3 linked regions of the Canis lupus familiaris genome follow. The protein of the gene in region 2 purifies or fractionates together with the protein of the main gene of each other region. This does not show direct contact. Links are inferred from orthologs where the notes say so. Each region holds a gene or a part of one and is shown on either strand. Other genes may lie near its edges.

Region 1 (4,473 bases), on a different chromosome or scaffold from region 2:
CTGAAAATTTGCTGAGGTCATGTTTTAGCTCTCACTACTATATATTCCGTTTCCACCTATCACAGGTGAGATTTTCATTGTATTTTCAGCATAAGAAAACTAAGAACCACTACTGGGAACAGGAACAAGAACATGGGCTTTGGTGCCACACAGTCCTATGGACCTGTGTTCAATCCCAGCTCCATAGCCCTGGACATGCCACCACCAATTCTGTCCAGTGGACATCCACCTTTCAAATTCTAAACAAAACATACAATGTATATAAAAATACTAATGCTGATTTCTACGTGTATTATGTATTCAACAAACATTATCATTCCTCAGTTAAAAAAATTACGTATGGGTAATGCCTGAGGTGTTACCTATACCTTCAAATTTATCTCAAATCACAGACACTTGTTTTTTAACAAGCACCTATTATGATTGCAAGGAGTCCCTGGTTTGTTCCAAGAGATTCACAGAGAGTGTGCCAGGATAAGAATATTTAACTTAAAAATTATTTTCTAGCTATGAATCACAGGTTACTCTGACAGCACTGTATGAAAACACCATTTTTATGGGTAAAAAGTGGTCAGTACTGAAAATTTCACATGGTTCAATAAAATGTAACAGGTTTACAGTAGATAGGAAATTAGATAGGGTGTTTATCTAATTTACTGTGGAAAAGGCACTAGATTTAAAAACATAAAGATCTTGGTTTGAATTTCCTTTTTTTTTTTTTTTTTTAAATTTTTTTTATTTATTTATGATAGTCACAGAGAGAGAGAGGCAGAGACACAGGCAGAGGGAGAAGCAGGCTCCATGCACCGGGAGCCCGATGTGGGATTCGATCCTGGGTCTCCAGGATCGCGCCCTGGGCCAAAGGCAGGCGCCAAACTGCTGCGCCACCCAGGGATCCCTTGGTTTGAATTTCCAGCTTATAACCATCATCACTCTCTGAAAAGCTGTCTTAATACACAATCCAAGTTAGGGATCTGAGAGAAAAATTCTATCAACTAGAATGAAGAAAACAGTCAAGCTTAGAAAGATGAAAACCAATGGTCTAATTTTTGCTTTCTCCTTCACAACCTTAGGGAAGACAAAGAGTACGAGAGTCCCCTCTGGTCTTCCTGGGAAAAAGAAAACTGCAATAGAGAAGCTGCTCACCAGATTTTGGATTTGTGTCCCGTGTGTACTATCTAGTCCCACTTACTTACTAGCTATAGAAGCTTAGGCAGTCCCTCCATCTCCCAGAGCCTCTGTTGTATAAGGAAGTAAACAATACCTTATGGAATGATTATATGAAATTGTATGAAAAATATAAAGCAACGCCCAAATGTATGGGAATTATCAATGAATTCTTTCCCACCGACATACACTCCTGAATTAACGGTTTAGGTAAAAGCTTTTCAATCTGTATAAAAACCATAGAACCTGCTAATACTGAATCTTAACACCACATCTGAAGGACACCTAACAGAGTAGCCAAATCAACCTTGCATTTAAAGGATGAAATCAACAGTAGTTGTGAAATGTAAACTCATTTCTGAAAGGGTAAATAACAAGAATCTGGACATCTTTTTACAGATTGTTTCCCCATACATTACCTTATTTATTAATTCTCAGAACCACCCTGTGATTTAAGTAGTACTAGTACCAGTATCAGATGAGAAATACCAAGGGTCACAAGGTTCAAGTTGTGCCACTAAAGATACTGCCAGTGAGAAGGTGATTCTGGACACTATGTATTCTGGGTCCAACACTTGTGTTCTTTTTAACTAAAATATGTGGGATCAGGGGTGCCTGGCTGGCTCAGTCAGAAAAGAATGTGACTCAATCTATGGCCTCTATCACTGAGTTTGAGTCCCACGTTGGGTGTAGAAATTCCTTAAATAAAAACTTAAAAAAAAAAAAAGAAAAAAGAAATCTGGGACCATTTATTCAAAGTGACTACAGGGCAGGCACTTTATATATACCATAAACTAGAATATTAAGTCTCACAACAACCTGTAAGGTATGTATTATTAATCCCATTTAGTAGCAATCCCATCTGATTCCCAATGTTAAGAAATCTGTCCAATAAAACCCTGTAAATAGTGTTGGAGCAATGGTAGCACATAGATCTATCCAAGAACATGCTCTTTCCACAGCTTTTTATCACTTCATTACGTTTAATTAAAAAAAAAAAAAATTAGGGCAACCCTGTCGGGACCCCTCTCACTTCTGAGAGCTTTCTCCGTGTTTCTGCTTAATACTTCTACCGCTTTGCTTTAAAAAAAAAAAAAAAATCGATTACATGAAGAATGCAAAGTAGGCTAATACAAGTCCAGTTTTTCCACAAGACTGATTCATTAGCTACATTGGTAAATTTCAAAATAAAGCCGATTCAACAGTGGAAGTGAATGTAGGAGAAAGTTTATTTTTTCAAAAACTTCCAGCACTTAATTCTAAGATTCGGTAAGGCAAGAATTGCTAATTATCCAACCAGTTCAGGTTTGGAATCTTTCGCCGCATCAAGTTTCTCCCAGGGGTGTTAGGAGCTTCAAGACAGAAAGAAAGAAAACGAAATACTCTTTCAACCTACTGATTTCTTTTCAGCCTGCGAAGGTGTCGGCGATCCAAAGCCCCCCGGGGACTGCGTGTAGCCGCCGGCTCCGCTAAAGGCGGAGTTGCCGTAGCTCTCAGATCCGCCTGGTTTGAAACGGCAGTATTAGTGCCCGCGCTGCTTCCCGAGCCTCTCGACAACACCAGGCCCCCTCAGACTCCCCCCACCGCCAAGCACCCCCAGCACCGCGCTAACCTGTCCCACCGCCGTGCCCCGGCCCCCCGCCCCTTCGCCACCCTGTGCCTCCTCCACTCCCACCGCCGCGCGCCTCTCTCCGACCCCCGCCCTCTCGCTCTATCCTCCTCGCGACTCTCATGCTTACCGAACCACATCTTGGTCACTATTCCCTCAGGAAAGAGGTCCGCGACACTCCCGTCAGGTGGGCTCGCCGGACTCCTCAGAACCCTGTTGCGGCCGCAGTGCTAAGCGCACTTCCCGCTGGTGCCACAAACTCCTTCCCGCGAACGACGGAGCCAATCAGCGTCCAGGACGCTTCTGGCTTCAGCCAATCAATGCTCACGAACTCTACGCTTTTTCCTGTCTCAAGAAAACGCGCACTCTGTTTCCGATGGGGCCGGAAACCTCTACGGCCATTTTTACTAAGGGCAAAACAAGTTGCGTAAGCGGAAGCAAGGAGCGGCGAGAGGCTGATAGGGCCGTTTCTCAAAGTAACAACCAATCAAAATGACAATTACGAATCTCCGGCCGTATAATCCCCCCTCCCCCCCGTGAACGACACTTTACGTCACTTCCTTTGTTCGGCGTCTTCCTTTTCCCGCCAAACTGTCACCAATCAGATGACGCCTTAATCAACACAGCACCCCGCCCCGCAAAATTCTTGCTTCGGCGACTCCGCCTCGTCATCGTGCGGCGCTTGCGCACTCGGTGACCTCGCCACGCTGTCTGCGAGGCACGTGGTGGGATTGCTAGTTCATTAGCAAAAAACCAAAACAGAACAAAACAAAAAGCCAGGTTGTCTTCGTTTGTTGGCATTCCCTCGTCCTGATTTTCCCCGGCGAGGCTGCAGTAACATACACCTCTCCCCCAGGACGCCCCTGCCCACCTCCTGTCCCCTCTGCCTCCCCGATTGTTTAAACCATCCTTCACGTAGCAGTGTTCTGTCCCTCCTGTAGAGAGAGCACGTCGGTCAGCTCCTTCGCTAGATTGTTAGGCTCCCTCATGCCTCACTTATTTTGGTAAAAAGTATGTATTGCTGCCTCTTTTGTTCCAAGTTATGTGCTGGTCAGTGGGATTCAACAGTGAATGAGATAGGTACGGTCCCTGGGTTTCTGGGCCATTTTATTTTTCTAAAACTGCAGCCACTGTCTTAAATACTTCACATTTAGCAACTCAATCCAGTGAAGTGGATGCCGCTACGGTCTCGGTTTTAACAAAGGAGGCAGCCGAGGCAACGAGATGCTAAGTGGTCTGATTGCATCCACCAGTGTAGTCGCTGTACCTTCCTGAACATTCTAGAATTGGGGCACAAACTCAAGTTGACATGTGAGTCAGGCAGGAAAACTGTAAATGTAGTAGGTTGGATAATAGAGGGGATTTTATTTATTTATTTTTTTACTTTTTTTTCCTCCACAGTGACAAAAATAACCACACAAAATAAGGACGAATAGCAACTGACAAGGAATATGGTCTCAGTGGTGTCATCTATCTATATTTTTAGCAGACGCCAGAAATTTTGATTTTTGTCTAAAAAGTTCTGAATTTTAAGTGCGGGTAAATTTAAAAATTTAAAAACACCATGTGGGCCAGAGAAAAGGTATCTGTGGGCCAGACATAGCCTGCCTGCCACCCCTTACCTATGGAAATTCTGTAAACCTCCAAATCGAGATACAGCCAAGGACAGAAACCTGAGGCAAACATGAGGACGTTGT
Region 2 (4,654 bases):
TAGTCACTCTCCAAGGGTATGTCAAGGAAAAAATCCCATATTTCCTACAGAGAGGACAATGAGCAAAAATAAGATGTTTTCTGAATTTAAATATTGTTAAATAAGAAAAAAGAGAGGACAGTAAAGAGGTTCAGAACAGAAGCTGCATTACATTTATATTCCTATTTCATTCAAGCAGTAGAGGAACTGAAATAAAGAAAAAGGAACTTTTGAGAATGTTCTATGACAGCAAATAATTTAGCTATCATAATGAACTTTAAAATAACCTCACATTTATAGTGCTCTATGTTTATCAAGAATTTTTATCTAATTTAATCCTCATAATAGTCCAATGGAGAGAGCAAGCCAAGTAATAATTCTAGTTTATGGCTGAATGAACTAAAGTTCTGAGAGTTTAAGTGACTTGCTTATGGTCACCCAGTACAGGAAGTAGACAGAACTAACTTCGATCCAGTGTTCTTTCCACTTTTATGAGCATTTCTCAAGTATTAAGAACAATTTCAATTGGGAAAGAGTGTGCTATAGACAGCAAATACCAATCACAAATAACTTTAAAAAGCTTAAATTTTAATGTCTGACTGTATTATTCTAGTAACTGTAAAAATGATGCCATATATTGTCAAACAACATTAAGAACAAAATTAGCACAAACTTCTAGTCGAAAATCACTACTCTAAAAAAAAAATTAACAAAAGACACATACTTAGGAAAATATATATTGCCAATTATACATCATGTCCCTTTTTTCAAGACGTACATTCCAGTAGTACAAAGGGTAGAACCTTTGCTGCTCTGTTTTCAGAAAAGAGAATCGTAAAAGACGAAGCATTTCTCATCCAAGCGAACTACACGTGGGCCTAGTGGCATAGTTTTCAGTTTTAGAACAAGGTAGGAAACTAGCGATATTTACCTGAGGAGCAATACGATTAACGATATGTGAGATCTCATCACTATCTGCGGTGTAAATCTGTTTTTTTCTTCCTTTACCTAAAGAACAAAGACATTTCTCTAAGCGGGAAACAAAAAGATTAGTCTTTAAAAGTAGCAGACACTTCTTAGAAAACAATTTTAATTGGCACGGGCTTGGACCCGCTGTGCACTGATACCACAGGCCTATCATAACCATCACCCAAGATTCTCAAGACATCTGTTGTATGAAAGTCCTGTTATTACCCTGCTGAAATCCTAGAGTCAAATCCTCACCCCCTTGCCAAATATTTACCCAGATGGAAAATGTTAATTAGTAATAAATTACCTAACTGTTTCGTCATTGGAGAATTCTGATCCCAAAAGATATCATTCTGTCCGTCTGGATCATTAGGGGAACTGAAGGTAGAGGACAGTAAATCCATTCTCGGCACTCTCTTTGGGGTTTCATATCTTTCTACATAAAATAAGATTAAAAAAACAAAACAAACAAAACAATCGTTGCGTTGTTAAGCGTTACTTTACTTCCTAATACCCCAACGTCAGATATCCTTTAGACCATTTTTTTTTAATAGCCCAATTATATAATTTCCTCCCAGACAGGAGTATATTAACGACTGAAAGGTTTCACCTGAGAATCCTCGTGATGCTTCACAAATCTGACATCGTAAACAGCAAGTGTCTTGGGATAACCCAGTAAGTAGCCCTACCAACGTCCAGAAGCCAAGGCGTTCCGTTCATTACAACCGGAACCTGGCGGCTTTGGGAACCGCCTGTCATTTATGGCTGGCATCTTACAAACATCAAAAGGCTCCCGGCGGAAAACTACATTAGAAGTCTGTTTAGCCCCCTTTCATCACCACCTCTATCCGACTTACACTAATTACTTCCAAAAAAAAAAAAAAAAAAAAAAAGCAAAGCAGCTTAAATTATTTAATTTCCCATTTCCTGGGAAATTCTTAGCACCACTTTCAAATTCCCACAAACGCTGGTGTCTTGTTCATTCCAGAACTGCCTTGCGCGCGAGCCCATTGAACAGATGGGAACGTAGGTCGCGTTTTTGAGAACACGCTTTAAAGGAAGCGCTTTTGGGGGGGCGGGGGTCACAGTGTCATAAGATCCTACAAAAGACACAACAAGGGCGGGCGGGCAGGGGGGTGCTCATCGGGTTGGCGCCTGCCTCCGACCCAGGGCGTGACCCCGGGTCCCGGGATCGAGTCCCCCGTCGGGCTCCCTGCGTGGAGCCTGCTTCTCCCTCTGCCTGGGTCTCTGCCTGTCTCTGTGTCTCTAATGAATAAATAAGTAGAATCTTACAAAAAAAGAAAAAAAAAAAGGAAAAAGAAAAAAGACGGAACGCCAAAGATTGCCTGGGACGAAAGGGCTCGGCAGGGGCCCCGGCGTTCCTCGGGGTGACGTCACCACGGGCGTCCTGGGGTGACGTGACACGGGGCGTCCTCGGGGTGACGTCACCACGGCGTCCTCGGGGTGACACCACCCCAGGCGTCCGCGCGGTGACGTCAGACGCGGGGACTTCCGGTGAGTTCCTCACCGCCGAGCTCCGCGCGCGCGGGTCCCGCTGGGGTGCGCCGCCCCCCGCCCCCGCCCGGCCCCGTGCACGGCGCCGCACCGCGCGGCTCAAGCCTGGGGGTCGCGGCGGCGGCTCCCTCCGGAGGCTCCCCCCGCCCCCCGCCCCGGGTCTGCGCACTGCGAGCGGCGCCGGGAGCGCGGGGAGGCCGCGGGGCCGACGTCTCACCCTCGGGGTTACTTTTACTGCACGAAGCGGCCGCCGGAGGCTGCTCCCGTTGCCGCGCGGGCCGGGGACGCGGCTCTGCCGACCTCAGCCGCCTCTTCCCCGGCTCGGCCACCGAGCTGCCTTCCTCGGCCGCGGCCGCCGCCGCCTTGAGCGGCGTGTTCTTCAGGCCAAGGCTGTCCCCATGTTTCCTTCGCCGACTCATTGCCTGCCGCCCCCCTCCAGCCGCCGCCTCTCCGGTTCACATTTTGCAACGGGAGGAGCGAGGCGGCGGAGCTACACACGGGACTCGGCGCCAACGGCCGCCGCCATTTTGGCCGACGGGACGCTCGACAGGGGCGGCCGCTGATTGGCTGCGTGCGGGCGAGGGGGCGGGGCGACGGGGGGTGCCGGCGGCGCGCGCTTCCGCCTCCCGCCTCCGAGGCCGGGGGGCGGGGCGAGGGGCGGGGCCTCGGCCGGGCTGCAGGTGGCTGGACGTGGTTGTCAGGGCGCGTGCGCGGGGCCGCTCTTGGCTCAGCGAGTGCGGCAGGTGGAACAGGAGTCGGTCCCCTGGCAGGCAGCTTTGTGCTGAACCTAGGGCTGCAGTCACGCGTTGCTCAGATGTACAGAATTGTGGCTTTTAGTATTTTAAAGAAAGAAAGATCTAGATTAGGAAGGAAACACTAAGCTATTTTTTTTTTCATAGATGATGTATGCATAGGAAAAAAAAAAACTCCAAAAAGTATAGAAGCTATTAAATCTATAAATCAATGTAACGGACTTGCAGATGGGAGCTAAATATTCAAAGGCTGGTTGTGTTTGAACATACCCGGAACAAACACAGCACTTTTTTTTTTTTTTTTTTAAGATTTTATTAATGGCCGGGCGGGGGGGAAAAAAGATTTTATTTATTTATTAGTGCAAGACACTCACTGAGAGGCAGAGACCCAGGCAGAGGGAGAAGCAAGCTCCATGCGGGGAGCCTGATGGAGGACTCGAAACTGTGACCCCGGGGTCATGACCTGAGATAAAAGCAGACACTTAACTGACTGAGCCACCCGGCTGCCCACCTGCAGGTTTATTTTAAAATGTATATGGACATGCAAAGCACCAAAAATATCCAAGAAACGTTTGAAGATCTCTTGAGGAATAGTAAAGTTGGATATGTACCACACATCAAGATCTATAAAGTCATGCTGATTAAGACACTGGGGCGACCGGTTAAAAGGATAGGCAATCACGAAAGAAACTAGATGGCTCAGAAACAGACCTCTGCATACGTGGACAGTTGATTTAAGGCAAGGATGATACTCTTAAGCAGTGGGAAAAGGAGTTCTTGATAACAAATAGTGCTTGGTCGATTTGATATTCGCATGGAGGAAAAGAAAGAAACTTAACCTCTACGCTAAACCGTACCCCAAATCAAATCATGTGCAAGTTGATTGTATATTTAATTGTAAAAGATAAAATAACATTCTAAGAGATGATATAAATTGTCAACGACAGGACTGATTTTTAAATTGAACAGCAATGTCATTAACGTGGAAGAAAATAATTACCTATTTGACTACATTAGACTGATAACTGAAGAACTTAGGTCTATTGCAAAGACAGCGTTAGAGAATGGAAGGCAAGACACAGACTGGAAAAAGATATTTACCAGATGCCAAATGAGGGCTAATATGCAAAATATATGAAAGACGGATACAAATGCTAAGAAAATGATTGACCACCAATAAGAAAAGTGGGTCAGATACTTTTTTAGGAGGCTCTCCAAAAGAAAATCTCAATGATCAACAAGCTTGTTTAAGGGTGCTCAACTTTATTTGTAATGAGGAAAATGAAAGTTAAAACCATAATGCAATATTCACCCATCAGAATGGCTAAAATCATGAGTGACAATAGAGGTATCAAGGAAGGGAACCAGAGATGATATCACAGCCCCAGCCAATACCTTGATTGTCGCCTGTGGGGATCCAGCGCCTGAGGGCACAACCA
Region 3 (4,555 bases), on a different chromosome or scaffold from region 2:
TCTATAATTTATAGTTGTTAAAATCATTTTGGTTGCTGAGTGAGAAATCCACTGAGTGAGTGGGTAACATGGAAATGGAGAGATAAGCTGAGAGGTTACAGTAATAGTCTAGATAAGAAATGACAAGAATAGCGGCAGTGACAAGTGTATTTTAAAGGTAGGATTGTCAGGACTTGCTGATAAGATTTTTTGGGTATAAGAGAAAGAATCAAGAATTCCGGCTAGCGGTTTAGCGCCACCTTCAGCCCCGGGTGTGATCCTGAAGACAGGGGATCAGAGTCCGGGATCAGAGTCCCCCATCAGGCTCCCTGCACGGAGTCTGCTTCAGCCTCTGCCTGTGTCTGTCTGTCTCTGTGTCGTGAATAAATAAATAAAATAAAATAAATAAAAATTCCTGGGTTTTTGGTTGGCACATTTACAATAACCTGGGGCAGGAACCAAGTTTAAGAACATAAATCAAGATGTAATGATGTAAATTTTCATTTCAGGTACAGATGTTCAACAGTAAGCAACCTAATATCTCTGGGTAGATAAATATTTGGGAGTTATCAGAATATAAGTGATATTTAAAGCCATGGGACTACATGAAGTTACTTAGGAAGAGAGTAAAGATGAAAAGAGGACAAAGGATGTAGCAAAGTCACATGGGGAATCAAGAATGATTCCTACATTTCTGGTTTGGAAAACAGAGTGACCATGGTATCACTTACTGAGATGTCCCTACCTCAGTGAATGAGAGGGAAAAAAAAAAAAGGGAGGTTAGGATACGTGAAGAAATTGTATTGACTATGTTGAGTCTTACACTTACCAACTAAGCCACCCAGGTGCCCAGCTATGTTGTCTTAATGGCATATAGGACACCCAGCTAAAACTGCCAGTATACAGTTGTATAAATATCCTATAGGAGGACACCTGGGTGGTTCAGCGGTTTAGCACCTGCCTTCGGCCCAGGGCATGATCCTGGAGTCCTGGGAACAAGTCCCTCATCTGGCTCCCTGCATGGAGCCTGCTTCTCCCTCTGCCTGTGTCTCTGCCTCTTTCTCTCTTTGTGTCTCTCATGAACAAATAAAATCTTCAAAAAAAAAATATTCTATAGGAAATGGATATGGTTTGGAGAAACATATTTGCAGTCATTAAATGGCAGATAGTAGTTAAAGACAGTGGATGGGATCACCCTGAAAGACTAGGCAGAGAAAAGAGTGCTCATAGCAAAAAACAGAAGCAAAATTCATCTCTGAGACAGAGCCGCCCACACATTAGAACAGTTAACATCTCACTTTTTTCAGAAATTGAATTGCCAGTCAATTAATGAGAAAAAAAGATGGGGGTGGAGAAAAGGCTTTGATTGCATGAATCTGGAACCCAACTCTGATAATGGCTACCTCTGACTTTGGTTCTTCAATTCCTGTGACTCAGTTTCTTACTGAATAGTGATAATATGTACTCTATTCTACATCATGGAGATACTGTGAGACTGAATAGGCAGGAATGAAGCAATTAAAATGAGAAACTCACGACTGTTAAAGAAAAGTAACGTAAGCTCCGGTGATGTAAGAGACTATAAATAAATCCAAGATACTATTATTTTTATTAACAACTCTCATTATGGAAAAAAAAAAAAAGAGGGTAGAAAGGCATTAGTTAATTCTACATGAAAACAAAATAGGAAAAAAAAAATATTGAGCTTCACATTGAGCCTCAAAAATGAAATCTGTACTTCAATGTCCTAAAACGAGCGCTTGTATTCATGTTAGTTTATAAAATGTTAACACAAAGTAGGCTTGCAACATTCATGCAAAGCGGGGAAAAAAAAAAAAAAAAACACAAAAACAGGATGATTCGGTAAAAACAAGAGTGGTTTCTTCATTTACCCTCTTATTTATGTGATCGAAGAAGACTAAATATTCTTGTATGGCCAACAAGTGGAGATGAATACATCTGCACCCCAAAAAGAAAGGAATTAAATACCCCACAGATTTTCTGTTAGCTCTGACTTTGTGTGCTAAGTTTTCAAAAAGCAATTACTCCAACTGATAGGTCAACTGCACTAGTGGTACAAACCCACTTATTTCTTCTTCGCAATGGGTTAAAACTCAAAAAAAAAAAAAAAAAAAAAGGCAAGCAAAATAAAAACCCTCCCTCCTTTAGGCCTGGTTGAGGGAAAGTTGCCAGTGTGCTGAAGGGGGGATGGCAGCCAGCCAGCAACAGCCTTCCCCTCTCTTCAGGTGGGACGGTGGTTTACGTGATTTTACTGTTCCGTTTACAGAAGGCGGGCTTTTGCAAATGAAACAGTATTGAATTATTTTTAAACTCTGGCAACATCTTGTGCACATTTACATTTTGGGGACGTCGTGGCAGATCCCTGGGATTTCTGACTAAAATAAACGGACTGGGCGCTGGATGACCAACAGGAAACGGGGCCCATCTTCAGGACGGCCTATGCTTTCATTTTGAAGAAGACCAAACTGCCTTTTCTAGCAATTGGCCTTCCTTCCACACCACACGAACCAGTGATTCTTTTCTTGTCAAAGAGGGGCAGTTTGGGTCAACACGTAAAGCTAAGAACCCAATTCCTCCACGAGCGATCACAAGGAGTAGAAAATGGGGCAAGTTCCTGGGTCGAGTCCCTCACCTAAGGAAAGAGGTCTGCAGGAAGCGAGCGGTCAGAAGGGGCGGGGGGGCAAGGCTCCCGGGCGCCGCTGAGGTACAGTGGGCTCGGCGAACAGCCCCTCTCGGGCCCTAGACCTGCTTCCCCAACGTCTGCGGCGACGCCCGCGTATTTTTAACCCCGTCTCGGGGGGAGACGTGCTCAAGCCATTGGCGAGACACACCGCCCGGGGCCGGGGTTGAAGGTTTCGGAGCCGGCACGCGCGCGGCTGGGGAGGGAGCGCACGTGAGAGGCCGGCCGGGCCGGGCCGGGCGGAGGAGACGCGGCACCCGGAGCGGCCGGGCCTGGCCCTACCTGCCCAACTCCCGCAGAGCGGGGATCATAGACGCCAGCTCCAGGCCGTGGTCGCCCATGCTGAGGATGCGCGGCCCTCGTCAACCGCGCGGCCGCTGCCTCCCGGCGTCTCCACAGCTACCTCGGGGCTGGGGGGAGGGGAGGGGCAGGCGCGGCGCCCGACGGTGTCTCGCCAGGCCCAAAACTCCTCCCGGAAGCCGCGTTCAGTCACGCTCTGCGGACCGGAATTCTTCTTCCGCGTAGGACCCGGGGGAGGCCGGGGGGCCGGCAAGGGGGCGGGGCCAAGGAGGCGGAGCGCGCAGGGGGCACGTTCCCAGCGCGGCTCCCGCTGGGGGCGTGGTTCGCGGCGAGTTTGGGGTGTTCGCGGGCACCCCGGGCTGCCCCCGTCCTAGGAGGCTCGGCGAGGCGAGACCTCCCCCGGGTTCTGGAAAAGAAACAGACCGGCCTCCCTCGCATCACGAAAGGGAGAATTGAGACCCTCCGGCGGGTGGAAGGCGTGACTCGATCCCGGGCCCCCCCACCCCTCGCCGCGCGTCCTTTTAGCGGGATACGGGGCTCCTCCCTGTCCTTCCTGTTTCGGCAGGGTGTTTTTCCCACGTGAAGTCAGACTTTCTTGAGGCTATTCCCGACTTTTAATATTTAAGAAGGGGTTTCGGGGATCCCCTGGGTGGCGCAGCGGTTTAGCGACGCCTTCAGCCCAGGGCGTGATCCTGGAGACCCGGGATCGAGTCCTGCATCAGGGTCCCTGCTTGGAGCCTGCTTCTCCCTCTGCCTGTGTCTCTGCCCCTCTCTCTCTCTCACTGTGTCTTTCATGAATAAGTAAATAAAATCTTAAAAAAAAAAAAAATTTAAGAAGGGATTTCGGGGATGCCCGGGTGTCTCAGCAGTTTAGCGCCGCCTTCAGCCCAGGGCCTGATCCTGGAGACCCGACCTGAGCCAAATCCAAGAGTCCCACGCCCAAACAGCTGTGCCACCCAGGTGCCAGCTTTTTTAAAGCTTAGATTAGATTGCACATATGAAAAAGTCGACCAACGAAAAAGCAACAGATGTTAGGTATTTTTAGATGATAGGAAGAAAGATTATAAAAACTACAATGTTATGTGGAAGGCAAAAACTAAAATAACACTGGAATTCTGAAAGGCAGTATACATTAGAAACATTGGAAACAATAGAGCTTTGGCAATCCAATTTTATTCAAAAAGTTATTTTTATGCAAGATTTTTTTGGGGGGGTACTTCTGTGACACAAAGATGAGGATGATGAAGTCTCAAGTAGTGTGCAAACTGGATATAGAAGGACATCATAGGAATTCAGAAATTGAAAAGCAAAGCAGAATCTGATGAATGCCATGAGAGAGATAAACATGCATTGGAAAAATATAAGAGGAAGAGATTAAATATACTGTGTGGAGAGGAGGTGGATGAGGAAGGGGCTCCAGGAGAATGAGGCACCACATTCTCCTGGAGATGGATGGGATGAGAATGAGATGGGATGGTGAAGGATGAGGATATGAAAAGACAAAGATTGGAGAAGAGGAATATATTTCTAATTAGAGGCAGCAGTATGAACAAAAAGCATATGGAGGGAGAGACT

What was found. The genes of interacting proteins can lie anywhere in the genome.
Region 1: the proteins of ETAA1 (region 2) and RPA2 purify together in Homo sapiens (affinity purification with western blotting; 4 studies listed by BioGRID, with this or other methods). This does not show direct contact. The link is inferred for Canis lupus familiaris from reciprocal best matches to the Homo sapiens genes ETAA1 and RPA2.
Region 3: the proteins of ETAA1 (region 2) and ATR purify together in Homo sapiens (affinity purification with western blotting; 3 studies listed by BioGRID, with this or other methods). This does not show direct contact. The link is inferred for Canis lupus familiaris from reciprocal best matches to the Homo sapiens genes ETAA1 and ATR.

The regions. Positions count from the first base shown.
Region 1 is NC_049223.1:71,856,312-71,860,784, reverse strand, and holds the start of RPA2 (replication protein A 32 kDa subunit), read right to left. Parts: upstream 3,099-4,473; 5' UTR 2,917-3,098; coding exon 2,907-2,916; intron 2,671-2,906; coding exon 2,564-2,670; intron 1,321-2,563; exon of another isoform or gene 1,214-1,320; coding exon of another isoform or gene 1,074-1,213; intron 1-1,073. UniProt on the Homo sapiens protein: As part of the heterotrimeric replication protein A complex (RPA/RP-A), binds and stabilizes single-stranded DNA intermediates that form during DNA replication or upon DNA stress.
Region 2 is NC_049231.1:67,924,774-67,929,427, reverse strand, and holds the start of ETAA1 (ewing's tumor-associated antigen 1), read right to left. Parts: upstream 3,018-4,654; 5' UTR 2,883-3,017; coding exon 2,681-2,882; intron 2,464-2,680; exon of another isoform or gene 2,374-2,463; intron 1,385-2,373; coding exon 1,256-1,384; intron 988-1,255; coding exon 911-987; intron 1-910. UniProt on the Homo sapiens protein: Replication stress response protein that accumulates at DNA damage sites and promotes replication fork progression and integrity.
Region 3 is NC_049244.1:38,755,927-38,760,481, forward strand, and holds the start of ATR (serine/threonine-protein kinase ATR), read right to left. Parts: upstream 3,099-4,555; 5' UTR 3,022-3,098; coding exon 2,963-3,021; intron 1-2,962. UniProt on the Homo sapiens protein: Serine/threonine protein kinase which activates checkpoint signaling upon genotoxic stresses such as ionizing radiation (IR), ultraviolet light (UV), or DNA replication stalling, thereby acting as a DNA damage sensor.